Arabidopsis thaliana: one gene and its partners. The protein of the gene in region 2 interacts with the protein of the main gene of each other region in a biochemical or structural test. Each region holds a gene or a part of one and is shown on either strand. Other genes may lie near its edges.

The links.
Region 1: the proteins of PRL1 (region 2) and MOS6 form a complex in vitro, tested with the Arabidopsis thaliana proteins (one study listed by BioGRID).
Region 3: the proteins of PRL1 (region 2) and KIN11 form a complex in vitro, tested with the Arabidopsis thaliana proteins (one study listed by BioGRID).

What each region holds. Positions count from the first base shown.
Region 1 is NC_003075.7:947,024-957,044, reverse strand, and holds MOS6 (ARM repeat superfamily protein), read left to right. Parts: upstream 1-3,354; 5' UTR 3,355-3,442; coding exon 3,443-3,658; intron 3,659-4,030; coding exon 4,031-4,130; intron 4,131-4,220; coding exon 4,221-4,312; intron 4,313-4,415; coding exon 4,416-4,547; intron 4,548-4,673; coding exon 4,674-4,859; intron 4,860-4,949; coding exon 4,950-5,113; intron 5,114-5,200; coding exon 5,201-5,279; intron 5,280-5,353; coding exon 5,354-5,482; intron 5,483-5,572; coding exon 5,573-5,700; coding exon of another isoform or gene 5,701-5,704; exon of another isoform or gene 5,705-5,791; coding exon 5,792-6,161; 3' UTR 6,162-6,499; downstream 6,500-10,021. Other genes in the region: AT4G02160 (cotton fiber protein), read left to right, coding at 1,393-1,944; AT4G02140 (uncharacterized protein), read left to right, coding at 6,805-6,960, 7,053-7,235. UniProt on the Arabidopsis thaliana protein: Binds to conventional NLS motifs and mediates nuclear protein import across the nuclear envelope. Acts as a cellular receptor for the nuclear import of the virD2 protein of Agrobacterium, but is not essential for Agrobacterium-mediated root transformation.
Region 2 is NC_003075.7:9,020,365-9,031,206, reverse strand, and holds PRL1 (pleiotropic regulatory locus 1), read right to left. Parts: upstream 7,542-10,842; 5' UTR 7,433-7,541; coding exon 7,299-7,432; intron 7,205-7,298; coding exon 7,180-7,204; intron 6,942-7,179; coding exon 6,836-6,941; intron 6,722-6,835; coding exon 6,628-6,721; intron 6,524-6,627; coding exon 6,458-6,523; intron 6,265-6,457; coding exon 6,180-6,264; intron 6,063-6,179; coding exon 5,970-6,062; intron 5,756-5,969; coding exon 5,692-5,755; intron 5,580-5,691; coding exon 5,494-5,579; intron 5,424-5,493; coding exon 5,322-5,423; intron 5,220-5,321; coding exon 5,136-5,219; intron 5,034-5,135; coding exon 4,973-5,033; intron 4,844-4,972; coding exon 4,777-4,843; intron 4,656-4,776; coding exon 4,578-4,655; intron 4,459-4,577; coding exon 4,394-4,458; intron 4,280-4,393; coding exon 4,202-4,279; intron 3,937-4,201; coding exon 3,764-3,936; 3' UTR 3,399-3,763; downstream 1-3,398. Other genes in the region: SWEET17 (Nodulin MtN3 family protein), read left to right, coding at 307-465; DI21 (drought-induced 21), read right to left, coding at 1,938-2,169, 2,468-2,550; AT4G15890 (binding protein), read right to left, coding at 8,462-9,133, 9,210-9,384, 9,483-9,615, 9,739-9,853, 9,943-10,030, 10,109-10,200, 10,362-10,842. UniProt on the Arabidopsis thaliana protein: Pleiotropic regulator of glucose, stress and hormone responses. Also regulates cytochrome P450 CYP90A1/CPD.
Region 3 is NC_003074.8:11,125,551-11,135,885, forward strand, and holds KIN11 (SNF1 kinase homolog 11), read right to left. Parts: upstream 6,556-10,335; 5' UTR 6,407-6,555; exon of another isoform or gene 6,259-6,406; intron 5,964-6,258; 5' UTR 5,961-5,963; coding exon 5,768-5,960; intron 5,639-5,767; coding exon 5,454-5,638; intron 5,360-5,453; coding exon 5,177-5,359; intron 5,082-5,176; coding exon 4,950-5,081; intron 4,853-4,949; coding exon 4,667-4,852; intron 4,592-4,666; coding exon 4,502-4,591; intron 4,417-4,501; coding exon 4,333-4,416; intron 4,250-4,332; coding exon 4,109-4,249; intron 3,973-4,108; coding exon 3,742-3,972; intron 3,457-3,741; coding exon 3,343-3,456; 3' UTR 3,070-3,342; downstream 1-3,069. UniProt on the Arabidopsis thaliana protein: Catalytic subunit of the probable trimeric SNF1-related protein kinase (SnRK) complex, a central regulator of cellular energy homeostasis, which, in response to seemingly unrelated darkness, sugar and stress conditions, activates energy-producing pathways and inhibits energy-consuming processes.

The DNA of each region.
Region 1 (10,021 bases), 8.1 Mb from region 2:
AGTTGTGTGCCGTTGAATCATGTTGTTGCGGCTGTCTCCTTATTGTAGTTTCTAGTTTCCACGAAACCGTGTTCCATTTCCAGAGATACTGTAACGTGCGTTTTCTTTGTCGGATCTTAGAAATATACAGATTCATGTATCTTTTTTTTATATGTAAAATAGTAGATATTTGTTGTTTTATCGTTTCATTGATTTTGACAACGTCATTGTTTAGTTAGTCTTCTTTGGACCATATATAATATGAGATCTATTTTTTGTAATTCTTAATCTATTTTATTTATAATAAAATATTTATATTCTTAATTATATATATATATATATATATATAACCATTCTTTTTTACAAAGATTAATAACGATATTCTTTTGAAACAAGATTAACAACGATACCGACAAACAAAAAAAGAACAACAATGATGTTAAAAAAAAAACAATTTTCATATGTAAGTCTTTGCACCACCCAAGCCTTGTTTTATAAAACAAAATTTCTAAGCGCCGTTTTGACATGTATTTTATAAAAACATAATATAGTATTTTATGATGTTTATGATTGGTTAAATTTCCTTTATATCAGGTATTGTTTAATTTTCTATTATGAAATATAATCACTGAAACATGAGGAAAGAATAATTCTTAATCATCCGTTAGGGCAAAAAAACAAGCATTATTCAAGTGATCCATAAACAGGGAAAATCTCTTTTTCTTTTATTTCTATCCTGAGCTCATGAAACTAAAACTTTTATTCTATTAACTATAATAAGCAATATAAATATTTAGTTCAAGTGAGGCAAAATATTTGCATCACCAATTCTAAATTCATTTATATAAGTAATGTAAAATTTATGTACATCAACTATAACTGATGTTAATATTCAAATTAAGCGATGCAGACTATATTTATTTTTTAAGTGATAGTTCGTGTAAGTCGTGAATGAGCCTCGGAAGCTTGATGCAAATAAGCAAAGGTTTGTTATACGCTTCCGAACTATATCCACATTTAAAAGGTAAATAAAGGAAGCACCAACTTTTGAACCCAAAAATAAAATAAAGAAGGAAGCAATTACCAAAATAATTAGCTGTTCTTTAACTTCTTGTTCCCGTAACTAACGATTAACACAGGAAGAGCACGCTGTCTTTTCTAGTTATGACGTGAAATCTCTCTTAAGAGACAGCTTTTACTTCCACCATTAAACCCAAAACTCTTCATATCTTATAGTTTTCACCCAATACTTTAAAAATAGTGGTTGCATGTATTTATTTTCATAAGTATAAATAGACTTGGTTTGTATGCAAGAAACCTTGGGATCTTCTTTCAAAATCTTTCTTCCCTGCTCATCGCAGGGAAAAGTCTCCCCATCTTGAATATCCTTTTGATCACCATTAATTCTTATATATGGAAATTCAAAATCAGATTAATGGTGGCCAAGAAGAGATCAAGAATATGAAGAAGAAGAAACGATCACGTGGTTTTCACGTGATCGGTGTCGTTTTATACATGCTTCGGCGTCGGAGGAGGAGCAAGCCGCTTAATAACGGGTTTTGGCGGCGAGTTGTCGAGTCCTTTGGGCAGTTGAAAAACGACAATGTTACGGTACTTCCATCGTCGTCTAATATTACGATACTACCACCATCATCTTCTCCGGTGACGGATGAAGTTCCGGCGAGTAGTGACGATCAGGTATCGGAGATGGTTGAGGTTCTCACGGCGACGTCTAGTTCTTGCTCTTCGGGAATCTCGGGATATGGATCAGCAAAGTCGTTGCGAGATATGGATTGTCTTGATGAAGATGATGATGATGATGAAAATTATGGTAATGATGATGGAGGTGATGAGATGATTGATGCGAAAGCTGAGGAGTTTATTGTGAGATTTTATGAACAGATGAGGATGCAAAATCAGGCTTATACAGAACGTTACAAAGCTAAAGAGATGATGATGGTCTAAATCGCACATTGTAATTCTATTCACTGAAGCATAATGTCATATTACATGAGTATACATATATGCATGGAGACGTGCACAGAGTTTGTCTTTGATTATTTCGATGATTTTTTTTTTTCGTCTATTATTTCGATGATTTAAGTAATGATATATATATTGTATTCAGTTAGTCTTGATTGTATACTTTTATAGTAGACGATGAATTTGTACGCAAACTATATTAAAATATATTTATAAAACTGATGTCATTTTGGTTTACTATATATCATCTTCAAGTCATAATGCTAGAACCAAATTGCAGCTAGCTTCTTGTGAGTGATATAGTAGATGATGAATTTGTACGCAAATTATATACATGACTCTGAGCTTCTTTGGCAGTTTTCCTAGGGTGTCATATACATGACTCTGAGCTACAAGCCTTTGTTGTTGTCATATTTCAAGCAATTCGTTTTTTTCTTTTTTTTCTTTTGAACCAAAAACCCAATAATGAGTTAAGTAGAAGTTTATAATTCACTTATGGGTACAATCCAATATAATTTAGAATTTTCCTATTGGTTTGAGAATCCAATTTGCTTGAAGAGAAAATCAGAGACATGGAAGCTAAAGAAGAGAGATTAGAAGTTTATGATGTGGAGAGTAAATTGAATCGGTTGCAATTCGGTTTATTATACTAGATTTTTGGTTTGGCATTAGGTTTATGACGTTAACCTAATAATAAACTACAAAATTTGGTTTTGTGGAGACTAAATTCTCTAACTTTCGATTTAGGAGGATATAATAATTTACCTTCTATTTTGTGTTGACTGTAAACGAAGTTCTAAATCTGTGTAGTTGTGGTACTATGTGAAACTGCGTAGGGGAATAGAGGTCGTTCACTCAAGTTTATAAGATGGCACAAATAGAAAGAAATCAATTTAGTTGTTCTCTCATTTGAAAGGAATTCAAGCAATATGGTTGTTCTCGTCTTTCCAAGATGCATTGAATAGTAAAGCATCTAATTAGTAAAGTTCTCATAATGCTCAGTTGCTCACATTGATCTTTTTACCCCTTTTAATTAGAGTACAGTCTTGTAAATTACGTTGTTTTAGCCAAGTTTGGCCTATGTAATAATTTATTTGGGCTTTAAAAAGCCTCTTCAAATTAGAGTATTGCTGCTGCAGAAAAAGAAAAGAATATTTGCGTGGAGAAAATAAAGGAAAACAAATCCATAATTAGTAGTCGGTGTATACATACCTAAAAAGGCAGAGAGACGTTAAGATTCAAATTTCAAAAAAGAAAAAAAATATGAGTGGCAGGTTCGTTATTAATGATAAAACTTAGGGGCAATATTGGATTAACAACAAGTCTCCTGAATCGTGGCCTCCTAAGTACACGCTCTTGTATAAATACACTCGCATCAAACTCCAAAACCCTTATCACTCTCTCATTAATCGAACTTGGCGTGTTTAAATAATCTTCCGATCGTTAATTCTCTTCCGATTTCGATTCGATTTTAGCGGCGATGTCTCTCAGACCTAGCGCGAAGACGGAGGTGCGACGGAATCGGTACAAAGTAGCGGTCGATGCGGAGGAAGGACGGCGGAGGCGAGAGGATAACTTGGTTGAGATCAGGAAGAACAAGAGAGAGGAAAATTTGCAGAAGAAGAGATTTACGTCTTCTATGGCTTTTGGCTCAGCAACGGGACAAACGGAACAGGATCTTTCTTCAGCGAACCAAGTATGTGATTCTTTCTTTTGTTTACGATTCCACCTTTAGTTTTTTCTGATTTTATGTTCCGATTTGATCAATTAGATCGTCTCTGTTTCATATGAATTTCTAATTGGAGATCGATTTGTTCTAGATTTGAAGTTCTTGCGATGTTTCTTTGTTTTTGGTCATAGATTTTGTATTTGATTGCAAAAACTTGCGATGTGTATGTGTTGTTTGGTGAGAGTATTTGTTACTAATGTCTGTTTAATTGACTGGGAATTTGAGCGGTGTTGAATTTGACATGTAAAGAGAATTAGGGTTGATATCTCAACGGAGATCATCAAATTTACTTTAGCTAGAGGAGATTTTTGACTATGATAGTGTCTCTTCGTGTTACAGTTAAAAGATAATCTACCTGCTATGGTTGCTGGAATCTGGTCAGAGGATAGCAATTCACAATTGGAGGCAACAAATCTCTTGCGGAAACTGCTTTCTATTGGTTTGTGATTTATGTTATTGATCGTTACTAGTAGTACATAACAATCAGTGTTTTGGTTAGAGTCTTTAGCAGTTGTTTTTTCTTTTGTAGAACAAAATCCTCCTATCAATGAAGTTGTACAATCTGGTGTTGTTCCTCGTGTTGTGAAGTTTCTTTCCAGGGATGACTTCCCCAAACTTCAGGTGAGTCGCAGCTGCAGTCGTTTTTTTTTGGATATATTGATAGTTACTAGTTTGATGTATTTGTTAACTTGCTTTTGCTGTTTACTTCTGCAATGTGTTTTAGTTTGAGGCAGCTTGGGCGCTCACCAACATTGCTTCAGGGACATCAGAGAACACAAATGTCATCATTGAAAGTGGAGCTGTCCCGATATTCATCCAACTTCTCAGCTCTGCTAGTGAAGATGTCCGCGAACAGGTATATGTTTAAATCCTCACTGTTATCGTTATTGTCACAGAAGAAACACTTAGACATTAGGATCAAGTGGAAATTCATTGAGACTGTTACCATTCTGAGTTCTGGTCTTTCCCTGACTGAGTATAGGCTGTTTGGGCATTGGGAAATGTTGCTGGAGACTCACCAAAATGCCGGGATTTAGTCCTAAGTTACGGTGCCATGACACCTCTTCTGTCTCAATTCAATGAGAATACAAAGCTTTCAATGCTGAGAAATGCTACATGGACATTATCAAACTTCTGCAGAGGGAAGCCCCCACCCGCATTTGAACAGGTTTCCTTAAATATACACACTTTATTGAATCTCCACAATATTTTTTAACATGCTTCTGATATTTTGTTACTTAAAACATTTTTCGAGCAGACACAACCAGCTTTACCAGTTCTTGAGCGCCTTGTGCAATCAATGGATGAAGAAGTTCTCACAGATGCATGCTGGGCTCTGTCATACCTCTCGGATAATTCAAACGACAAAATACAAGCAGTCATTGAAGCAGGAGTTGTTCCTCGCCTCATCCAGCTCTTAGGGTAAGCATCTGATAGTGATCATTTTAATTTTTATTGCCAGGCATGATTATGTTATCTGATTTATGTGCTTCCTCTTTCTCCGTATAGTCATTCGTCGCCATCAGTGCTGATTCCTGCTCTTCGTACCATTGGAAATATTGTAACCGGGGATGATCTACAGACTCAGGTGCATATAATACATTCACCATTCGATTTCGAGTTTTCAGAAGCAAATGTCTCTAACTTATTTTCCTAACACAGATGGTTCTCGACCAGCAAGCGCTTCCTTGTCTTTTGAACCTTCTAAAAAACAATTACAAGAAGAGTATCAAGAAGGAAGCTTGCTGGACTATCTCCAACATTACAGCTGGAAATGCAGATCAGATACAAGTGAGTTTTGTTTATAATATATGGCATTTAACAAGAAAGTCGAAAATTGAAGTTTCCTGTGTCTGATTTTATTCGAACCCGTATGTGCAGGCAGTGATTGATGCAGGTATAATCCAGTCTCTTGTTTGGGTGCTTCAAAGTGCAGAGTTCGAAGTAAAAAAAGAAGCTGCTTGGGGAATATCAAATGCTACTTCTGGTGGCACTCATGATCAAATCAAGTAAAACCATAAAAACCGAAACGAAATGTTTCCTTAACAAAGAATGGTCATTTCTAAAACACGTCTGTGTTTATTGTTTGTTTCTTCTCAGGTTTATGGTGAGCCAAGGCTGTATCAAACCTCTATGCGATCTCCTTACTTGCCCAGATCTGAAAGTTGTAACGGTTTGCTTAGAAGCACTAGAGAACATTCTCGTGGTTGGAGAAGCAGAGAAGAACTTAGGTCACACAGGAGAAGACAACCTCTACGCTCAAATGATTGACGAAGCAGAAGGGTTAGAGAAGATTGAGAATCTTCAGAGTCACGACAACAATGATATCTACGACAAAGCCGTGAAGATCCTCGAAACATTTTGGACTGAAGACAATGAAGAAGAAGGCAACGACGAGAATCATGCTCCACAATCTGGTTTCCAGTTCGGAAGCACCAATGTTCCTCCTGGTCAATTCAACTTTATTTGAAAGGTAAAATAGTTGAATTGGGTCATAGAAGTTGCTTGGACTTTTAAGTAAGCCACATATCGAACGAAAGTGGTAACATCACAAAGATGAAATATCAATCTTCTCTATCTCTTCATGCCCACTCCTTAACTCGTGGACATGAACTATGAAGAAACATAGTACGATTTTCTTTTCTTTTTGGAAGTTTGTCTCAATAACTAAATCATTTGGGGAAGAGAAACAATTATTCTGTGTTAGCCATCATCTCGTCTTTCAACAAAGTTCCCTTTTTTCATATATTAGTGCCATTACAAAATCGTAGTTATGCCTTAACTAAACCAGAAACATTTTTATTCAATAGTTAATCATTTTTACTCGCAATTTTAGAAAACAGAGAAGCTAGAAATAGTAATATACGCTTGTGGAGGTTTGAGGCAACGGTCAAAACTTCAAGAGCAATATACGCATGTGGAGTTTTTATTGGGTACTTTGGTGTCTAATTACAAATAGGAGAGATTAGTGGTGATTAAGTGGTTATTATCATGGTCATAATTTCTATATGCGAGAAATTAGGGTTTAGGCTATGTGACTAATTCGTGTATTTAAAACACTCTCATTGTTTTATATCCAACAGACAACAAGAACAACAACATAGCCAGATATAATGCTGTCTTCACCAGCTTTTGCTGCAGCACGTTCTACTCTCGGTCGTCGTCTTCATGCGAAGAGACTATCTTCTTCTACTGGTCGAACCGCTGATCCAGAGATTCATGCCCGTAACGATGGAGACGAGCCTAGTCTTTTTCCATCAGACCCCGAGGTATATTTTGACTTTGTTGTTTATATATGTCAAGCTTAGCTGTCACAAGTCACAACTAAATTGTTTGTGATATGTTGTTATTGTTGATGTAGGGTTTGGATGATGTAGCGAACCCGAAGACTCCAGCGGATGAGGATGTACCGGATATTCGACCACCCGGTTTTGTAAAGGAACCGCTTTCTCCGCCAAAAAATCCCAGAGATACTTCACACAAGCTTGAATCTACTCCCGTTGGTCTACCTGCAGATCTCAATTTCCAACAGAAACGAAATTAATAGCAGCAAACGCCTTAGCCGTTATGGCCTTCTAGATCATTCAGAAATGCTTACTTTTGATTAGCTTTGAGAATAAAATTTAATTAAATACACTCTCTACTTTAACTTCTTCGGATTAAAGAAACTACTTTACTCTATATTTGAAATGTGTTGTGTCTTCGTACTTTTGAGTTTATGAGATTATGCACTAAAGATTTGATTCGAGCATAAATGATGAATTGACGATAAGACAGTTTTCACATGGTCCAAAAGGGTTTTGATTTTGTTCTTCACCAAGATTCCTTATATATGTTGTATTCATCCTTACAAGCTGTAAATTTTAAAGAGAATCACATTCCAAAGTTGATATTGATGAGATCTTAGAATAGTATAGAAAGAGAGCTTTTTTGGGTGCAACATAGAACCAAAAAAAAACATTTTAAGAAAATCACAAGACTTTTGTGCACTCTCTTCGTCCGCCTTTGAAAAACTAATTCTTCCATATACTTAACGCACATCCTCTTTGTGTTTTCACCCTGAACAGACTTGGGTAAAGCGTATGTGGGAACCTTGTGTATCCACTTTGGTGAGACTGTGGAGTGGTAGTTGTTGCGTTGGTGCTCATGGAGGTAGGACATTTATGTGGATGGCGTGAGATTGTTGAGGACGACGACGGGTGTTGTGAGTTAGTTGAAGTAAGAGGTCTTTGGTATCAGTTTGGTGAAACAGGGCGGCTCTCAAGTCACGATGAGCTAGTGCTTGTTGTTGTTGTTGGGTCCTCGTCTTCTGACATGAGAGAGTATTGTAATTAATGGAAAATCATCCCTGGACCCTGGTGTTACGTACGACACATGAATCAGATAGTTATATTGGAAAGTTGACAACCATATGCAACATCAAATACTCCACTCCAAAGTCTTAAATAGAAAGAGCAAAATATAAAGAGCATGCTTAAATCTTCTGGTATCAAATTGTTTCAAACATGATCAAAATCACTGCTTAAAGACGGCGTTTGGAGCAAAATCTTTTAAATGCGACAGTTACAAAGATAATAACGGTTGGCTACGCGGAAAACATACTTGCTCTTGTTGTTTTCTTTGCAGAACTAATGGTCTTTACTCAAGATCACATACATTTTTGCAACTTTACTCAAAACTAAGTGGTAAGAAAACTGTAAGAGTATAATTCAATTTGATGTGTCAATAATTCAATATAATATTGTCACATTTTAGTAGAGAATGAATCTATGTTGAGATATATCTATAAAAAAAAAGGACAAAAAAGAAGCTATATTACTGAGCCAAGAAAAGAAGAAGTTAAGTCTCAATCTCTTGAAACTGTTTTTGTTCCCACAAAGTAAAAGAATCAACAGAAATGAGTCGGGTACGGGTCCGGTTTGGGACCTACGAGGCAGAGACAGAGTGAGAATCCGAGTCACGACCGGAGTGATGGTCGTGGAAGCCAGCCTGGTCTGAATTGTAAATGGGCCTATTAGGTTCTGAGGCGTAGACCGTACGGACTGTTACCATGTGCTTTTACACCAACAACAACACATTTCACAATTAATGTATTAAAAATATTATTATAATAATATTAAAATCAAAACCGTAGGTTATTTTTTTTTAGGACCTATATATTATTGACTTTAAAAAAAAATTCATTTCATAACAATAGATAATTGGATAATTTGATTTTCTATTATTTCATTTGGAATGGACACGTGGTGGATTAATGATGGTGGTTTTGTAAAGATATAAAAAAGTAAATAAATAAAATAGCTTCTCTACTTAAATGATTAAATGAATGTACGTTAACGTACGTGTTAGATTTTTTTCATAGCGAAGGAAAAATTTAAGATTCGCATTGGTCGTGTCGATTGTGTCAGGCTAAACGACGACGTATTAACGTAGATGACAAAGGGGTCCGGTCCCAATGAAAATATGACATATTTTTTTGAAGTGATTTTGTTTTGTCAAATAAGTTATGGGATATAAATTGCAATTTGATAAAATTATGTAATAGATATGACAATTTGGAATGTATCTGTTTTCTTTTTTAGTTTATTTAGATTTTTAAATATTTCCATGCTTTTATTCTTATTTTCTTTGTGTAAGATTACTTTCTATAGTTTCATTTATAGTGAGTTAAATAATTTAATATTGCATTTATAGAGAATGCATTAATATAGAATCGCCTAAAAAACACTAAAAATACTCAAATCTCAACTAAATTAATAACACTAAATATTTTATGTACTAAAAATTTACTCGACAGATCTTGGTTTCTAGTACATTTTTGTTTTTTTGTTTTGTCTTGATATTAGCATGCAAAACCAAAACATAAACATGTGTTATCTCCAAATCAAAAACCTAACTACCATTTTGTAAATTGTAACTGCGATTCTATTTACATCTTCAAATGTTTTTTTCCCTACTAATCCAATTAATATTTCTTACTATACTTTATATATAATATGGAAAGAAATCAAATTATTGGTATATTCCCTAGAAGTAAATCGTGGCGTTTCCAAAATAATCAGATTGTGTTGTTGTTATAATAGCATCAAAATTAATATAGAAGACAGACAATGACAGCTTGTCTTTATTTCTCCGTAATCGTTACACTTACACAAAATTTAATTTGTTTTCTTACTATATTAAAAATATATTCCAAGTTGACCATAAAAATAATCAATAAACAAAACGAGTAATTACAAATAAAAATAAATAAACACTCTCTCTTTCTCTCTTTCCTCGTCTTCTTCTTCTTCTTCTTTTTTTTTCGTAAAAATTCTTCTTCTTCTTCTT
Region 2 (10,842 bases):
ATAAAAAATCTTCTGGAAAAGAAAAAATCGATTTAATGCTCAATGATTTTTTAAAAATTGTGGACTCCAAGTCTCCAACATTAACCAAAATGTTTTTTTTTTTGGCCATTTTTTTCAAACAATTAATTTTTTAAAGAACGTGTCTGGTTCAAAAATGCAACAACTACTATTTTGTGGGGACATTTTCAAATGCGTTTTATTGTGATTTCGGATAGGCGTTGATTATAATTATGTTGTTGAGAAATAATGTATTTGTGATTGATTGATTAATTTAGTTAATTAAAGTTATGTGGTGAAATTGGATAGGTGCCAAATGGAGTGGGGTTTGTGTTTGGGACAATGCAACTCATACTTTATGGAATTTACAGAAATGCCAAACCGGTTGGTTTAAGCAACGGTTTAAGTGAGATTGCTCAAGATGAAGAGGAAGGCCTCACATCACGTGTTGAACCTCTCCTCTCTTAAATCCCTTTTTTTTTATGTCAAGAGCTTGTTAATTAATTTGGGTCTTATAAATACAAATCTTTATATTTTTTGTTACATTATTGTGGTGTGCGATTTTGTGTACGTTATTTTTTTGGACAAAATTAGATTAATTTGAAGATGTTACATATTTTAGGGATTGTTATTGTAATGCATCTTTTGTTAAGCGAAGATAAGAGAATGGAGTGTTTACTATGTTTTGAGGCTTAGTAACTTTTTTGTTTGGATAAGTTTTGAGATTCTTGACGGTTGAGTTTGTGAGATATTATTCGTAAAAAAACGTCTTGTGTCGTTGTGTACGTTCGATTGCAAGTGAGCGTATACAGTCATACAGACGTACGTACGGTTCGGTATTTGTGGAGCAAACATATTTCAGTTTTACTCGTCTCTCGGACTTTGACATTTCCCTTTAGCGTTCGGATCGTGATATTCATTTCAGACACAACAACATGGTCATAATGACTAGCTCAGGGATATGTCCTCCTCAATACTTGTTGATGCTCAATTTCATATATGAAAACGAGAGTGACAACATGTTTGATATTTGTTGGGGGAAGAAATGTGAGTGACAACACGTTTAGACTGACAAATGTTGAGAAATAATACATGTTCAAAAAAAAATATTTTCTAAGAAAAAATTGAACAGAGACAAAACTCTTCCGATAACAAACACATCAGTAAACCTAAAACGAAAAAGTACTGAAAAGTTTTAAAATAGCACCACTAGCTAAGACCAAAGGAGGAAAAGCAGCCAAAACGTTGATCTCAGTATCTCATTATAGCATAGAATCGATGTTATCATTTTAAGTTTAGTGGACAAAGTGATAATATTTAGTTATGATATATACTAAGATCTTGAACCCTTCACAGTTTCACTGATTCATAATCTATTGTGGCAACCAAGTATTGATGATTGATCCTTACGTATTCACTCGACTAGCCCAGAAGTGGGCCGAATTACAGCATATTCTCAACCCTCAATAGTCCGTTTGCATTTTCTAAGACTATTAGGCCATTAGCAGCCTCAACAAAACTATGGGCATGAAGAATCAACAAAATTTTATATGGGGTATGAAAAAGCACCATCATTTTCTATTGTTGTATTTGATGTTGACAACAACAACAAGTATAAGATTGTGGTCACAAAATATAATGCCATAGTGAAATCATCTTGTTTTGTTGTTGTTGACGTTGTTAAGTATCATAATTTAGTCATAATTAGCAACGTTTTCTATTTTTCGTATATCCCCATTTATCTCTTAAAACATTTAAGACACTGTTATACTAAAGATGTTGTGTTAGTCGATCCAAACAGATATTATATTTTTAACTAGTTAATGTGATCTTTATTTTTACTTAATAGTTGATACAAGACAAACATAAACACACATAATCAGAATAGTCGCCTACGACAACCTTCCACTGGAACCAAGTCAACCAACCAATCAAAATTCTCAGAAAGACTTTGCTTTGTTTTTCAAAAGCAACTCTCTGAGCTCAGCTGGATCAATCTCAGCCGCACGATTGGAAGGTCTGTAGTATCCAGTAACTGGATCTGGTCCCCAAGCAGACTCTGCCTCTTGATCTAAACCTCTCTGTTCCATCTTCCCCACCATAACTCTGGTGGAACCTCCCTTACTCAATCCTGCTGCTGTTACATTCTGCGATGTAGCAACGTAACTCCTCCTACATTCCAATAATTTATTTTGAAGGTAAGATTATATAAACAGCAAATGACTAAATAACATAACGAAAACGTAGAAAATAACGTGATAATATCATGCATAATTATCTTTAATAGATCTAAGTAAATTAATTACGTTTATTAATGATAGATCAATCTTTAGCCTTCACTCAAATTCAAACCATCAACTATTATTCAATTAGAATTATAAATTCTTTATACGATCTAAGCAAATGAAAGAGTGTGTAAATGTTTATATATTGTAACCTGAAAAAATGGGATCAGTTCAAACATAAGTACCTTAAGACAATGGAACAAGACAGACTTCCGGATGCGGCGGAGCAAAGAGATTTAACGGCACCGGAGAGTGAACGAGCGGCCATTTTTATGATATTTAGATATCAAATAAGTATCAATGATAAAGATATGACGATAGAGCTTAGCGTTTTAGCTACCGCAAAATGATTGTTATATTCTTCCCAAGGCAAGTATCAAGCCTAAGAAGAACACAATCCTTTTTGCAGTAGCCGCCGGTACTAAGCCGCCGTCAGATTCCCCGGTGATGGTTTTTCGAGAGACTTTAGGGTTTGGGTTAGGCGCACTTATATAGACCACGACAGAGAAATTTGGGCTCATGGGCCTTACTGTGGACCCACTGCTCATACTTACTGCCAAAGTAAGGTTAAAAACTGAAATGTGAAAATAGTAAATGGCTAATTCATTTTTTTGGGGGGTTTTATTTATGTTTTTGCCTGTTTTCGAGAAACCCACAAGTGACTAGTGAGAAAGCTATGATAGTTTGATGCTTTGATAGTTTGATGATTGAATTGAAAGAAATAGAAGACGTAAAAACCAATGTACGTCTTCCACTAAACGATACTGGCAGTTAAAAAGGTGAAAAGTCTACAAAAGATCTGCGAATAAACAAGTATACTTTGGTACAAAAGATCAGAAGAGGTCGGTGAGATCTGAATGATGATAACTAGAACGTGTCACTTACGTATTGCAAAACCAACACACAGGTGTCTTCGCGCAAACGAGCTCACCATCACCGTCTCTTTTTAGTGGATCTTTTCCATTCAAATTGTTTACTATTTCAATATTTTCTTTTGTTTTTACACTTGGTTTCTTCGTATCAGCTGTTTTGTTTTTACACTTGGTTTCTTCGTATCAGCTGTGTAGTTACACTATAAAAGCTTCATAAACCAAACAACCCGAGCCAAAATTTAGGCTGAAAACTTTCAGTGGTGGAGACTAGAGATATAAGTTGTTGATCAAATACTTAGATTCGTCCTACAAAACTTCACAGATTTGGTTGCACAGAAATCATGATAGATCTTCGATAAGTACTAACGAAGAGAATCAAGAGACGGGAGATAAAAGTAACAAAGTTCTCTCAACATAAACAACAATACATGATCTATTATTGTTGATAGAAAAAATTACAAATGCCCTTAAAATACATAAAGTACATGGCCTTTTGTTTCCTCCCCACCACAAAACAAAGGTCCCCTCTCAAAAGTTGATCTAGGAAACAGAATCATGAAGAGATTAGTGAGATTCCAACAAGAGCTTTGAGTTACAGATACAAGTTATTTAGAAGCGCCTAATCTCCTTTGGTGGTTTGAAATTGATAGGATGAGTTTCTGGAGTTGCATTCTCATCTTCTTTCCACATCTTTATCGTCTTATCAGCCTCGCATGTTACCAATCTTGAACCTGTATTATCATAACACGCTGCATATATACCCGCTTCACTCTCCAGGGAACCTGCCATATGCCCAACCACATCCAATTAAAGACCCATTTACTATTTGCTTGTAAGACGACGCTATAGGCATTTACATAAACCATAAACCTACGTCAACTTTCTTGGTTTCCCTAGAGCTCAATCATAGTATCATACACTTCTAACATTTGAGTCTTTACCAGGGTTCAAACTTGACTACGTTGTATGAACATACCGAGACTTCTACATCTTACCATAACAAGGAGATCAGGAGCAAAAGACCATGAAAGCTATAAATGTACGTACCAGGCTGTACGATAGTTTCTGACTGTTGGAAACTGTGACCACTCTTCCAGTCCCAGAACCATATACTTCCATTATCACCTTCATTCACACATATATAGAATCAGTTTCAGTTGAAAATGATTATGTCTCACCCATTTTACTATCAAAGGAAAACAATCACAGGGACGAAAGGAATCAGAAATGATTATATACCTCCAGTGACCATCACACCATCCTCGTTTACAGCCATTGCATTAATTATGGTTTTCTGTTGCGAACTTTTCCATGGAAAAAGATAAACATTGTTCAAACACATCAATTACATAATTAATAATGACAGCTCCTATTTCAAAAGCACTGGAGATGCAAAGTATATAATTATCTAGCAGAGACTTACAGCATGTTGTGGCAGAACTCTCCCTTTGGAAGGCTAAATTTCTTGGTGTTGTCAGCTGATGCAGAAGCAAAGGCATTCCTAAAAAGAAAATTAAAGAGATAACATAAAGGAAAAGTTTAGGTGCAAAGACTTCGCTATTGGAAAGATAAAGTAGATTCAGCACGATACACAAAAGTAGATTCAGTACGACTACACATACTCTTTAGGATGGAGGGTCATTGCTCGGACAGATTTCTTATGATGTGTTAGCGTTGACATTGTTTTTCCTGCATATAATAATAATACAGCATTATTCAAATGAAACCATATATTTGCAGCAACTGATAATCAAATAAGGAAGGATTTAAATAATATGGATTTTAAGTCCAAACAATGGTTACAATGATAAGATATACCATATCGAAGGTCCCAAAATTTAATGGTCGTGTCATGGGATCCGGTGACAACTTGTGGGTCCTGCAACAACACAGATCAAAGTGAGTTCCAGTTACTATTATAAAAAGATTCAGCAAGAAATCCAAAAACCATAACAACAAGTCCATATTAAAAGAGACTTACTGTTGGACGAGTAAATACAGAACAAACGGTGTTGTCATGTCCTGAGAGTGCAAAAATTTGCATCTTGGTACGAATATCCCACACCTGCAAATAAGTAAACATGGACTTTTAAACTACAAATCCAGCAAAGTGCAAGAATTCAAACGAGAAGATATATAAATATGGATATAAATATTTTTGCCTTACCCTGCAGACAGAGTCTCGCCCCCCAGTTAATAAAACATCCAAAGTTGGGTGCAGAGCTAAGCAATAGACACCACTCAAGTGACCATGATAAGATCGGATAACCTATCAAATCAAAAATTCCAAGAGCATTAGATATGAGAAATCCAGATAATGAAGAGAATAGAGTTGTAACCTTATTCTGCTCAAGGTCCCAGCATTTGACTTGCTTGTCATCACCAGCAGAGAACATATAGGTATGTCGATTGCTTACAGCGAGGCCTGTAACAAAATTCAAAACAAAAGAGCCCAAACTTGTAACTTGTCCCGAGAGTGTTATTTATTGAAAAGTCTAACAAATATTAATAAACGAGAACAGATTTGAAAGGCTAACCTCGTACTTGCTCGATATGCCCAGTAAGTGTTAGCTTCAGAACTCCAGTTGCTACATCCCATATCTAGTGAATAAAACACAAGTAATAAATTCAGTAAACATACCAAAGTCGGAACTGCTTCTACAATCGCCAAAGTAGTGGATTTTTGGCAATGCACTAAACTAAGCTCCAGTAACTAGCCATAGAAGGGAAGTCTTGTATCATGACTTATAAGTATAACAAGAAAACATATTCGAAAAAATACAATTCATATTGAATAAGCAATCATCTCTGCTACCTTGATGGTACGATCAGCTGAACCAGTACAAAACCATTCATTACTCGGGTCAAACGCAACAGATCTGACCCAACCCAAGTGCCCCTGAATGACCTGTGAAAAGAATAATTAATCGTAAGTTAAGTAACTCCTCAAACCAGAGTTTTTTGGAGACCAACAAAAGACCAAAATCCGTATGATGCAGCAACAATGCTGAGCCACGGATTTTACCCTGTAATTCTTCCATGGTGCATGCCACTCTGGCCGGGGCCATCTACTTGGTATTCTCTCCATTAATGCAGCAGTTGACAGATTTCTGTAACACGCAAAGGAACGCAACAACAAAAAAGGAATCAGAATTAGAAGCTACATTATAAGGACAAACCAAAAAAATTCAGATTGGGGGAAGTCTAATTTGCATGCCCATGAACTACCTACACTACCTAGAGCTGCCATTAATGTATTGCAATCCAGATAAAGAAAAGCAAGTATGAGGACGAGAAAAAAACCTTTGATATGAAGATACATTTGCAGGTATAATGGTGGTGCTCTTCCCTGAGGAACCTGTATAGTTCCTTCAATTCGAGAACCGAATTCTTTTATGAGCATCCTCACGATAAAGTAGAACCATCAATTAGCATTCAGATCAACGAAACCAACAACAAAAGATAACACTTACAAGCCTTTAGGCAGTATTGGACGCAGTAAAGTTGGACCAACAACAATAGCACTCTCTGTCGCACCCTTTTGCGTACTCTTAGACCCTTCAGGAGCTGCAGAATTCATCAAGCAGATGATTTTATCCCTTCCAATACAAATAAGAATGCAAATAGCAAACAAGAAACAAGTTTTTATCTTTCACCAAGACATAGTGATATGAAAAACACCTGCGAGGGAAAGAGCATTTGAAGGTCCTGGCTGCTCATTGATGCGGTCAGGTTGACGTGGAGGTTGACTCACAACAGGTTCTACACCTCCAAACGCAACTTTCATCTGTACAAAGAAAACTTCTAAAATCAGTAACATACACAACAGAGAGAGAGAGAGAGTCTAAGTAAATCAACCATCTTTACTATTATTGGTAACAAAACCTGAAGATTTAGAACAATTATGGAAAAACCTGAATAAACCTAAAGTTCGAAGCTTTAAACCAAAATCCAATCAATAGACATTAAAAGCGAATAACTGAAATAAATTTCTAAAGACTGGTAAGAGAGACTCAATGTTTTACCTTATGGCTGAGACGAATCTGCTTGCTGCAAAAAAAAAAAAAAAAAACGAAGAAATCATAAAAACTTAGTGAAGAAAATGAAGATTCGAATCGAAAATTGGGGATCGAAGAAGACTAACGCTTCCGGGTCAGGAGGAGGGAATTGGCCATGGACGGGAGAGAAGAGTTCAAGTGATCGTTTGAGGGATTTGAGACTGAGCTTTTTCAGTGACTGTGCTTCGATGGGTTCGATCTCCGTCGTCGGAGCCGGCATCGTTCTTCTTTTAGGGTTTAGAGAGAAAGAGAAGTGAAGTGAAAAAGGGTTATATTAATAATCTCGAGTTTATTTATATCAATTTCACGATTTTGTTGCGCCGAAAAATTCTTTTAAAAGGGAAATGAACACAATTAATTTTTCTGGCTACAAATCTTCTTTTTAAGCTTTATGTTAAAAGGAAAAAATAAAGACACATATTTTCTTAATATGGTTAATGAGTAATTAGATTGATATGTATTAAGATATTGTATTTTCTTTCTCTTTATAATTACGGTTTTACCTTTTCTTAAACATACATATACCAAATGATGTATGAAAGTTTTCATGCAATATTATTGAGGTCATAAATTTTGTAACACTTTCTCAAAGACAATAGATTTATAAATTTTCAAATATTTTGCAGCATAGTTTTGATGAGAGACTCCCATGGAGTATTCAAACAAGAGATTTGCCACAAAAGTATAAATCTTCAAAAACCTTGCCCCCCACATGGAGAATGCATAAACCAAAGAAGGAAGCTCACACTATATTTTCGAATCTCTCATTTACTATCCATTTAACATGTTTCCCATAAGACATCTTCAAGAAGAAGATAAAGAGTTCAACACAAATACTTATATTTATTAAGCCAAAGAGATATGTAATCAGTCTTACATATTCGTAACATCTCTAAGCGCCATATATGTGCTAGAGATAGCTCTAATGAACTTGCAAAAGTTTTAAAGCCGTTATAGACATCAAATAGCATTTTTGAAAATATTTAATCACTTTGAGATGTTATCACTAAAATCAACACATACAACACATAAATCAATTTGAGGGCAGGGATGGATTTATCACACAAGGACAAACATGAGCAAGCAAACAAATGCGCGCACACACACACACACACCAGGTTTTAGTGTCTTATGCGGTTTATAAATACGATTTAGACTTTAATAGAGTCTCGATCTAATCTCCCAAAAAGAAAAATCGAAGTCATGCATTTACAGCAAAAGCTATTTTCTACAGTCTCATTTTTAAGTTCTAACTCTCATCATCAGACATGAAAGTTGGTCTTCTTCTCAGAGACTCCAACACATCAGCTGATGGTCGACCACTCTGGCTAACTCCACGGCTCGACCTTAGCTTCGGAACACTCATTGCGCTCAGAGGCGGCGTTGCAGCTCCACCGTTCACTTCTCTCAACACCGACCTAGCTGCCTTAGCCGCCACCACATCAGCAGCCGCAGAAACCACTCTTGATTCCAATCCCGAATCTCTAACATTCTCCTCGCTTGCTGCTGATGCTTCAGGTTCACCGTTTCTATGACTTGTCCCGCAGGCAACCCCTTGGTTAGCCATGGACCTTGCCTTTGCAGCCTCGTGCTTCTGCATATCGTAAACAAGCTCTTTCTGAAGCTGTTTGTCAGCGACAAGCATTTCTTCGATCTCGTTCTTGTAGTCTTTGAGGAGGACACGGAGGCAGTCCATGAGCGAACCTGTGAGAGGACTGTTCTTGCTCTCCAATAGCCTCTTGAGCTCAATGAAGATTGGAATCGTGTTCTGAATCAAACCTTTTCTAACAGCGTGCGTTATGGCCCTTCCTTTTGCAGTTGCTGCATCTCCACCTTCTTCCTCTATATCTGCTGTCTCCGACGATGCTCCTCTGGAAACTGATAAACGGATCTCTTTGCACGCCAAGATCTGAAACGCATCCTACACCGAGACAAAACGAGTTAAAAATCGGCAATCACAAGAAGAAAAAAGGCTCTGTAGCCATTTTGGAAGTTACCTGTAGAACTGATTGACCAGTGACATCTTCTATGTTGAGCATTCCATCAGAAGCAGCTGCGAGGATCTCTGCACATAACTTGGCGAATGTGGCCAAAAGGTGTTCTGGGGCCATTTGTTTAAGCAAAGTAACGTAGATCTGCATTCTTTTAGACCTAGCCCTTTCATCATTCCCTCTACAGAACAAATGAAACAAAGATAATCACTAAGATCATTCACACCAAAATGTCAAGTTTGCGTATGAGCATAGACTATATAACTTTAACACAAGTACCTGATAGAAAAAACTTGATCCTTTGTTCTTGATTGTTTAGAATCTGGATTACTATGGCCAGTGTGGGCATGGCAGTCGTTTAAGACATAAATAGCTTCCACGAAACTGTTGTAAGCTAGAAGTGGCGCCTTTACTATAAGCAACATGGGGCGTAACAATAATCAAAAATCCTAGAGATCATGTCTCTCTGTAAGAATTTTCAATAACATGGGAATGAAAGAATGCATTTCATGGTTGCTCACGTGAGTTCTCATACCTTTAAGGATGCTTCCAAATAAAAAGTCTGCAAGTCGACGTATCTTTTCAGATTCATCCACTAGCGATAGAAGGAATCGAAGGAAGAGAACTCCTCTCCATTTCACGTAGTCTCTCTGAATCAAGAAAACAAGCCTGCTTATTCATTGTCAATTCAATACTTTTTAAAAACAGAAGATAAAGAATCTGTGGAGAATAGCAATACCTGTAGTAACCTTGAGAGAAGTATGAAGGTTTGCCTTCTAACAACTTCACAAGGATCCCGAAGACGTTTAGTAATCTTCGGTATGTAACTATCCAGGTAAACAAACCATTAGAATGTCGCAATCATGTTTAACATTTGAAAAATTAATGTTCTGTGAATGAAATACCACTCAATCATGGCTGTATAGTGAACACAAAAGTCTGTCATCGCTACTACAAGATTGTTACGCAAGGCTGCACAATCACTCTTTTCAAGTTCCTGCAAGAGTAAGGCATCAACGGGTTCACATAGGTTAAAAAAAATTGAAGAGACAAAGGAGACTACCATCCAATGAATCAAGTTCCTGGAACGAAAAGTTTCCTTTCCAGAAATAATCAAAATGATAAAATGGACACATGAATCAGCAAATGCAGACAGACCTGTGCAAAGAGAGGGAGATATCTTTTAGCAAGCTTCCCGTCAGCCAAACACATCTTCGCCATGGTTAACCAAGACTGACTATAGAGAAGAGGAGCTTTTTGCTTCAAGCAAACATTAGCTTGCGGCAGTTTGTTTTTCAGCTTTGAGTCTGAATTTCCTGAAGTGATGACAGTATGTAAGAACGGAACAATTTTGGTCGTGTCAGCTGAAGGATATATAATGACACAAGATCCAATGGTGTATACTGCTGTGACTGCTTTTGATAATTTCTTGGACACAGTATCCAGTCTCTTGCTTCTTCTACTTCCGAGTGTTGCTGGTGTAACAAAAGAATGATTATGACTGGAAACCCCCTCGATGTACTTCTCAGTGACCTTAGATGCTTTCAATGAAACTTGTTCTACCCACTTCTTGACAAGCATATCGGCCTCCTCAGAGGTGCTTGCCTTCTTTTTGCACAAAGTTTTTAATGCTTTGACA
Region 3 (10,335 bases), on a different chromosome or scaffold from region 2:
AATGTAACAAGTAAATCCAGACTGCTCTCGAATAGTCGTCAAGTATGGTGAGAAAGTATTTAGAGCCACAAATGGAAGATGTACGATAAGGACCCAAAGATCGCAGTGAATCAGTTCAAAAGCAACATTTGTCTTATTATAACTCAAAGGAAAAGACTCTCTCGTTTGTTTAGCGCGGATACAAACTTCACACGCCTTAGTATCAAACTTAGTACTAAAATCCAAAAACTTTAACATATCCATAGCTTTAGAAGAAGGATGTCCCAACCGCGAATGCCATACTTCCATAGATGATGAATCCATTGAATGAACGGCTGCAGCTACTCCTACTCCTCTCAAAAAATAAAGACCATTCTCCTGTTCACCTGCTCCAATCAGGGTCTTGGTGATGCGGTCCTGAATGAGACATAGCCGATCAGTAATCTGAAATACACAACTACGTTCTCTAGTTAACTGTGATACTGAAATAAGGTGACATTGCAGCCCATCAACAAAAAACACATCTTGAATACACAGCGCAGAACCAAAAACAACTCGACCCTGTTTAGTAGCCATGGTGAAACGGCCATCTGGAAGTTTGATGAGTACAGGAGCCATATCGCGAACATCGATTAAAAATTCAAGAGTGCCTGTCATGTGATTAGAAGCTCCTGTATCAATAATCCATGACTCAAGAAAAGATATACCTGATTTTTCTTTTGAGTTGAGTTTCCTGTTTGCAAGTGTTTGCACTAGTGAGTCCCATTCGTCGTTACTCAAACCAATTATCCCGACGCGATCTGCGGATGTGAGAGAGGACGTTGACGCAGATAAGGCTGTGTTGACACCAAAACTTTGCAACTGATTCTGGTTTGAAGTGGTTTCATGATTAACTTGACCAGTCCCGAAGCTTTTGCCCGTCATTGAGCCCACCGAAGAGGTTGTTGTTCCACGGCCAACACCACCCGAAGTTGAATTTCCCTTATTTGAATTGTTTCCATTTTTATTTCTGGAATTTGACTTCGGATTGTGCTCCCACCAATCTAGATAGCCTATTTTCTTGAAGCAGTTGTCGGCAATGTGATCGGTGCGTCCACAGATGGTACATGAAACAGAGCTTCCTCTGTTGTCAGAAAAATTCCTAGAAGAATTGGTTTGAACAGCAAAACTGACGCCATCTGATCTTTCTTCATGAGTGCGACTTAGATTTTTGGATTCCTCGTCCAGAGTTAAAGCGTTGTAAGCGTCTTCTAGGCTTGGTAAAGGAACACGTGAAAGCAAATTTGATTTAACGGCTCCGTAGATGGTATCATCTAGACCCATTAAAAACTGATGCAATTTGTCCTCTTCTCGCTCTTTTCGAACCTCCTCCATTGTTTTTGCGTTTTGGTAATCGGCAAGACTCCCCCACAGCTGAGTTAGTTTGCCGTAATATGCTTCGATAGCAAGACCTCTTTGTCTGCAATTTGCCAATTCAGTTTTCAATCTTTGAACTCTCTGGCCGTTTTTCACTCCAAATCTCTTTTGAATATGAGTCCAGAGTTCATGAGAGTCATTGATGTGAGATAGGGACGAAGAGAGCTTTTCTTCAATCGTGAGTTTGATCCAAGAGACAAGAAGCGCGTTGTTAGCAATCCAGTCTTCAAAGTCGGGATCGTCGTCTGGTGGTTGAGGTATAGAACCGTCGACAAAACCGAACTTCTTTCTAGCTTTCAAAGCCAAGCATATGTTGTTGGCCCATTCGTCGTAGTTTGGACCACGCAACAAAGGCTTGGAGATCACGGTTCCGGGGTTCTCACCGGAAGTTAAATCGTATGGAGATATTGTACGGCGATTGGTGGTGGAGGTTATCAGAGCCGACGACGTAGCAGAATTCGTGGCCATGATTTTCTCCTTTGTGAGATAGTTTTAAAAAACAGAAAATAAGAAACAGAGTTGTTTTAGCGGAAGTTTAGATCATAGAATCGAACAAACCCTTGAGTAGTTTAGGTTTTGCTCTGATACCATGTCAAGAAACTCTTGTTTGTATAAACTGAATCTCTTAGGGTTTTAGGTTACATTGCTTGGTTTATATATAGGTTACAACTTGAGCATAAAGTTAACCTATTCTAAATATCAAAACCGACTAAGCCCATAGGCCCAATATATTCTCCCTCGTCATCTCAAAAATTCAAAGTTGAAGAAACTTATTTCAGTTTGCCCTCAAGCACAAGTAACTTTTAAAGAAGGAATAATCCATGTGATTGGAGAAGTCTTGCGGCCCACGAATAACAAGTGGAAGTGTTTTTCCTTAAATTGGCAGAAATTTAGGCAACCAGGAGAAGAAGGCTATACACACTTTTTCTGCGAAGGTGGCAGAAATTTATGACGGTGTTATGGACTATCATAAGGATACATGTTTTGCTTGTCCTTGGTTGTGTAAAGCTGGTTTCTTCTATGAATGTAGTAAAGAATGATGTTGTTTTCTGCTACACATGCAATGCGCCAAGATTTCTGAGCCACTAGTCCATCCAAGTCATTTGCATCCTTTATTCCTAACAACCAAACCGGGAGAGAAGCGAAGACATTTTTCAGTTTGCAAAGAGCTAGGACATTATTCCAGAAAGGAAACATTCAATTGCATTGAGTGTGACTACTTTTCTTTGTGTTTCAAATGTGCTACATTACCTCATAAGGTAATGTATAAGCATGATAAACATATGTTCACTCTTTCTTATGGGGATGAGATAAGTACAACGATGTATTGGTGTGAAGTTTGCGGTCCGAACCGACTGATGATGAAAAATCAGCAAAATAAATCCGAAGGAGCGGTTTTATGTGTGATGAGTACTGTAGTGTTACCCTACACATTCAATGTATGTTTGGGGTGGACTTATCCTTGAAGCCCGATATATTATTGTCCGACGGCGACCTATTTACTCCTTTTGCAAGAAGCATTGTCCACACAAAGTAGCTCTCCAATGTTCTGTATTAATATCGTGTTCCACATCTTGTATTGATGCTAAGGACTTAAGTTGGGTAGCCGAATTTTGTGAAATGGAATTTTGATGGACTCTGCGTGCAATGTTTTTAGGTATGACATGTATAATGTGTCTGATATAAACGTTGTATAAAATTGGCATCAGAGGAGAAATACAATAGTTAGAATGAAACAGCTAAGTTATGTACACATGATCAAACCTTAAAAACCATCAAAAAGAAGAAAGGATAGTTACTATTACAGTAGAGTTTAACTTAGAATCCAGGTATATAAAAGTAACCCGGCAAAGTAAACACTGCACCCACATATTATATTATGTTCTCTACTATTACAAACCATTGAACATGAAAGAAAAAAAATGTCTCAACAAATGGTTAAAACATTCAGATCACACGAAGCTCTGTAAGAAAGGCGGCGCATAGATCCAAGAAGAGAAACTGCGGACCGTTAACTCTCTGTATATCCAGCAAGTACTTCTCTTCCCGGGCTTTGTATAGCTGTTTCAAAATCAAAAGTGAACTCAGAAAGTGTATAATTGTTCTTCGAAAACAGTTGGTTCAAGTTCTAAAGAAGGTTTTAGTCTATGTCCTAGCTGGTTTAGTTTTGTTGAACTACTACTAGTGGGATAAAACAACATCAGGATCTTAGTCTTTGCTCCAGCACAATTCTACGAATGTAAACCCCGTTGATCGATTCATATCCCTAACAAACCGAACTAGGCAGTTGTTTATTTTCTCCAAGGAATGTTGTTGATACAAATGTATGTGTGAGTTTATAGTTACCTGAAGTTCAAATTTGATGACAGTGGGTGAAGTCATGGCACAGTCATCCTCAATGATGCTGGATTCATCTCTGAAGTGCAGCTGATTGTTGACCATAGTATTCTGACCATCAGCTAAACCAGGAACCCATCGACATTTCATGTTGTAGTGACCAATCTTCTTCCAACACACATTGAGTTCTTGAAGAGCTTTCAAAACTTCATTCATGATTTCACGAGGATGCGCATGAGACTGTTCAAAACAACAAGGTAACAGAATGATTATCGATTTGGCTATGTAGAGGCAAAGAGTACAGATATCTGATTGTGTGTTGCATTCAGAAGACTTTATGGTGAGGAACAAAAAGAATCAGTAATCAGGAACAAACCTGAAGTCCAAGAGCCCATTTTCGATCAACAGGGACTTGTGATCTTGCTCCCAACCCGTAGTGATCCACATGTGCAGGAATCCAGTGGCCTACAGGTGAAGCGCCCGCTTCAGGTGTGCGCATAGGATTGGAACCACTGTCCTAGATGAGTAACGTTGAAAAGGTGAACATGTTAGTCAAAAATGTTGGAAAGCTATCTACTGAGAGGAAAGAAAAACACATACTGTTGTCTCCTGAAACTCGGATTCTAGATAGCCACTTGGAACACGGAACCGGTTATCCAATAACAGGTAGTATGTAACAGTAGCCTGGTACAAGGAGCAAATGGCATTTCAGTGACTATTGGAAACTAGTTTCGGGGATTAAAAGCATTAGAGACAGGAAACTACATACATCGTTTTGTGTTCTGTTGCGTAGAGATTCCAAAACCTGGTTTCTATCAAATCCCATGTTAACCACTTCTTGAACTATCTCCTCATTGATCTGCAAAACATAAGAGATATTGTTACTATCACAGCAAGTGAACTCTATTAATCTCCAAATGGCACTGAAACCAACCTTTTTAGCCTGCTCTACTGTATCCGGTGGAGAGACAGCAAGATAACGAGGGAGATGAGTCTGGAACCAACGGTGTTGACGGATCTCAGGAATGGTGATTCGTTTCACCGGGTCAACTATAAGCATCCTTGGGATCAGGTCTCTAGCCTCAGATGATAAATGACTTGGAAGAGTGTAAATCCCACCCTAAAGAGAAAAAAAACACCTTGATAAGTTACTTCACATACATATGAATCCATTTAAGAAGAGTCTTTTAGCTGAATCAAAGTATAACGTACAGTACCTTAATTTTCTTGAAAAGGTTGGGAATGTTTTCATCATCAAAAGGAAGAGTACCGCATAATAGAGCGTACAATATAACTCCGCAACTCCATACATCTACTTCAGGTCCAGCATATAATTTACCTGATATAACCTACAACAAGAAGTAAGAGATAAGACACTCATAAGAGAAACGAGACATAGTCACATAGGTGAAAAACAATTCAGTAACTTTACTAAACTATATACCTCGGGAGCAGCGTAGTTGGGGCTTCCACAACTCGTCTTTAGAAAATGACCATCCCGCATAACATTACTCAACCCAAAGTCTGCAATCTTAATATTACACCTCGAATCCAATAGTAAATTCTCAGGCTTCAGGTCTCTATGGACAACCATATTACGATGGCAGTACTCTACACCAGATATTATCTATTCGGATATGAGTCAAACACAAACAACACTCAAACTCAAAGATGACATGATACGCTACAAACACACTGGTTATGGTAAAGAGAAAACAAACCTGCTGGAAAAAGTTACGAGCCTCATCTTCTTGTAATCTGCCTTTCTCAACAATATAATCAAAGAGCTCTCCAGACTTGACATACTCCATCACAACATAAATGTCACTCGTGGTCTCTATTACCTCATACTGCCGAATAATATGAGGATGCATAAACAACCGTAGAATCTTAATCTCCCTCCTCACTGTAAAGAAGAAATATACATACATTAAGATAAAAATACATACTAAAACCTAATAAGCAGAAACATTTGATTATCAAAGCTTTTGTTCTAGAAACCACTAAAGCTAAAAGTAACGGTGCTTGTATATACCTTTCTCTTCCATCTCCATGTTCTTGATCTTACGACGATTAAGGATTTTGATAGCAACCTTATGCCCTGTGACAACATGCTCTGCTATTTTCACCTTCCCAAAAGACCCAATTCCAAGAGTTTTACCAAGCTTGTAATTCGGTAAAATCGATTCCACTCCATTATTGCCAAATCTATTTGATGAATGATCCATTTCCTGTGTCCCAATTCAACATCAAACTCATAAGTAAGCTCTCTTAGCAACTTCTCTATAGAAAAACATCAGTAAACATATTAACTTGCTCAAATAAAAAAAAACATTCTTCAACTCAATTTTCATTTCATCAAATCTAATCTAAACCAACCATAAGCTTGTAAGAAAACTGACAAGAACCACCGACATAACTACTTTGTAATGGTGGTTTTGGTCTGAAACCAAACAAGAGACTCACAAGTTTGAGTTTAGAAGACAAAATTGATAAACCTTTACAAAGAAAAAAAAGTCAATTTACCTGAAAAGCTTGTTAATTTCGAAAACCGTCTTGGAGTAGATCCGAGAATCAAAAACCCAGATAAATTGTTCAAACAAAGAGCGAAGAAATATACAGAAACAAGGAGAATCAGATTGATGGGTATAAATAGGGCAGAATTGTAAATTACGATGTAATCTGAAGAAATTCTTGGGGAAGTCAGATTTCCAACTCGTAGGTGACGCAGAGCTGAGTCAGGTTTTTTTAAGTCTTCATGGTGAAAATTGGTAATGACGAATCAAGAAACCACAAAACCCAGATAAACATTTATTGCCATTTGCAAGCCCTTAAATTAGGGCCTTTTTGCCCATTTTCTGTTTTTGTTTGAAAAACTAGTTTTTTAAGGTTTAAAATTTTTATATTACTGTTTTTATGATCTATATATACATTTTTGCAGCCACTTTGTGAAATAAATCCTAGAGTTGGAGTTTATTTACAGTGGCTGCCACTCGCATTTAATAATTGTTTTTGATAATTAGAAAGAAAATCTTTAAATTAAATATTTGACAATCTTCCCAAAATCTTTCCACATTAACTACACGATTAGTTACTAAAATAAAACTTCCGAAATATTTAATATCATTTAATTACTACAAAATTATCATTTTTGATATTGTTTTTCTACATGACTATAATAATTCGATTATAATCATCAAACCGCAGAGATATTAGATAGCATTTAATTACTACAAAATTAAAAAATATTTAGACAATGATTCATAAACATATCATAAATAAAATCAGTGAATTTTTTTTACGGGACGGATTGGCGGGACGGGTTTGACAGGACGTTACTTAATAACAATCGTAAACTATAAAATAAAAATATTTTATAGATAAATATAATTTGCAAATTTTTATATATAGTAACTTTAAAAAATAAATTGTCTCCGCGGTATACCGCGGGTTAAAATCTAGTTTTCTATATATAAAAGCGTGCTAATGATAAAGCGGATAAATTAAGAAGTTTCAGACGCATTTTATTATATAAAGTAGAGTTTTTAAAGTTAATAACTCAACTGATCGTGACACGTAACAAGTCAATCGTTCATATGTTGATATTGTGTCGGATTTTTTTTTACTTTTTTCCTAAAAGAAATAGGCAATTTAACAAAAACAAATATTTACATATACTAATTTATATGTCTATATCTAAAAAAAATAAGTTATAGTTTACTTAACTAAGAAGGGAAACTAACAATAAGATGGAGTGTATAGAATTAAATTGTATTTGTATTGCAAAATCGAATTGTATTTGAAATGTATACAATCAAATTTAATTGTATTTGTATTATAATAAAATAGATATTTAAATTGTATTGCATAATCGAGATTTTTTAAATATTTTTTCTAAAAGAAATAGGAAATTTAACCAATAAAAATACATACACCAATTTATATTTCTATATCTAAAAAATTTAACTTAAAATTTTCTTAACTAAGAAGGAAAACTAACACAATAAGATGGAGTGTATAGAATAAAATTATATTTGTATTGCAAAATCAAATTGTATATGAATTGTATGGAATCGAATTAAATTGTATTTTTATATAATAAAATAGATATTTAAATTGTATTGCAAAATCGAGATTTTTTAAATATTTTTTCTAAAAGAAATAGGAAATTTAACAAAAACAAATACATATACCAATTTATATTTCTATATCGAAAAATTTAACTTAAAATTTTCTTAACTAAGAAGGAAAACTAACACAATAAGATGGAGTGTATAGAATAAAATTGTATTTGTATTGCAAAATCAAATTGTATATGAATTGTATGGAATCGAATTAAATTGTATTTTTATATAATAAAATAGATATTTAAATTGTATTGCAAAATTGAATATGTAAGATTGAAATTTGGTTTAAGGAAATACTAAATTAAATACTGAAAAGTATATGAATTATTATTTAAAATTTAAATATCATCAATAAGATGGATGTAGTCTATAGAATTAAAACAGTTTATTAAGATAAAATAGATAGTTCAAATGTAGAATAATTGCTGAGAATGCCCTTTTCACACTACCTTTTTCAGTTATACCCTTTCATATTTGACATTTTCATTTCTACTTTCAGTAAATTTTTAATGACTATTTTACCCTTATTTGGAAATTGTTTTTTGCCTAAAATATTCCAAATAAATTTCCTGCCAATAAAATACCATAGTTTTTGTTTTTGAGCATTTTTTTTAATACACCTTTTACACAGAATTCATTGTATATACTCGTATATAGCTTTCATTGTATTTAACAACTGTATAACCATAATACAGTACTGCTTCCAACTGTACAGTATAGATACACCGTATAAGCCGTATTTTAGAACACTAGTGTTTTATAAATGTATGTGGAAAGTTGAGCCTAATAGTTAGGCATGTCAACTAGAGATAATGCTCGTATGCTGGCCTGGCCTTACTCTAAAAACAGCGAATTCGGGTTAAATATATATATGTCTTGAAAAATTTGCTCTTTTAGACTAAATGTTTTTGGAGCTTAGTCCGGCTAGGATCGGATCGGACAAAAAGTCCTACATAAATATTTTGATATTTGTTTTGTTAAATATTTTTGTTAATATGAAAATTGTTTTACAAAAAAATTTGAATTGAAAAACCTAAATCTAGTTTTCTAATTGTGCCTTACATCTTTGAAGTATTCTGATTTTATATTTTTATTTAGTATAAGTTTAAACAATTTATTGGATTATTTCTTTGTTTTTAAACTTTTTCTTTCCTTTTTTTTTGGTTCAACAAAACTTTTATTTTAAATTAACTTAGTTTTAGTGGTTATTTAAATTTTGATTGACTCATGTCATACATATGTTCTTTCTTTTTCAGAGATATTATAAATTATAAGTTTGTTTATTCGAAATAAAAAGCCCGGAAAAGTCATGTAGCCCTATTATGGTCAAATTGGGCTTTAAAATATAGGATTAGAAGTTTTATGGACCGGGTCGGTCTCGCTCTAATATATGTAGGTTTGTATGTCTTAATTGCATATTTCTATATACTTTATCTTGTATAGATTTGTATCTCTTAATTGCATATTTTGATTGAAATTTCATTTGAATAATTGAGTAGAAAAATCATAAATTAATTTGAAAAATATATATATAAGTAAACTAATGCAAATCTGTAAATATTCTAATAAATGTTAGGTGTATAATTAAATGGATTGAGAAGCTATGTGAGAACGACATGTTAGCATGACATTTTCTTTAATTACACATGAAAATAAGGTTATTTCTAAAAAGTATTTCTCAATTAATATATAGGGGATTTAGAATGTTGTTCAAAGTTCTTACCAGCTATATAATAAGCTCGACTTTGGTTTTTCTGTTCGAAATCTCAAAGCACCAATTTATAGTCTAACTAATTAGCTCTTAAAATCATTCGATCAATTATTTAAACTTTATGTGATTTGTGTTATTATATTTTGAACTCGATAAAGCAAGCTACTTATGAAGATAGCTAGTGAAGAGGTAAATAAATTTTCAGATTCTGGGGTAGAGTTAGAGGTTTTTCTATTCAATGACATCCTTTTTCTACAAGTTTTGTTAAATAGCGGTATGTATAAAATGACTACATGTGAAGTTGATGTATAAAACGGTCATAATTTGAAAATTAGAGTATTGAATGACATATTTCCCGTTTTGGTTACGGTAAAACGATGTCGTATTGGGAACTAACGGAGACTAGTTAACGGCTGTTATCGAGTCTGTTACGCCAGATAACGTCAAATGGATTTTGGCCTAGTCAACGATTAAGTCAACAACGTTCCACATAAATGACTCTTTTGAGCTCTAATTAAAAACGGATGACAAAAAAAAAACGATTAAATTTGTGTAAAATCTCGGTCAACGATTTTTACATGTATTAAATAGTCATATTCGAAATTCACGTATTTAATAACCACTTTTTTGAAAGTTCATGTATTAAACGACATTTTACCCCTCAAAAAATGTATATACAGTATAACCTCTATAAATTAATACTCTATAAATTAATAACCTCTATAAATTAATAAAAAAATTTCCGGTTCCTACTTGGAGTAGGAA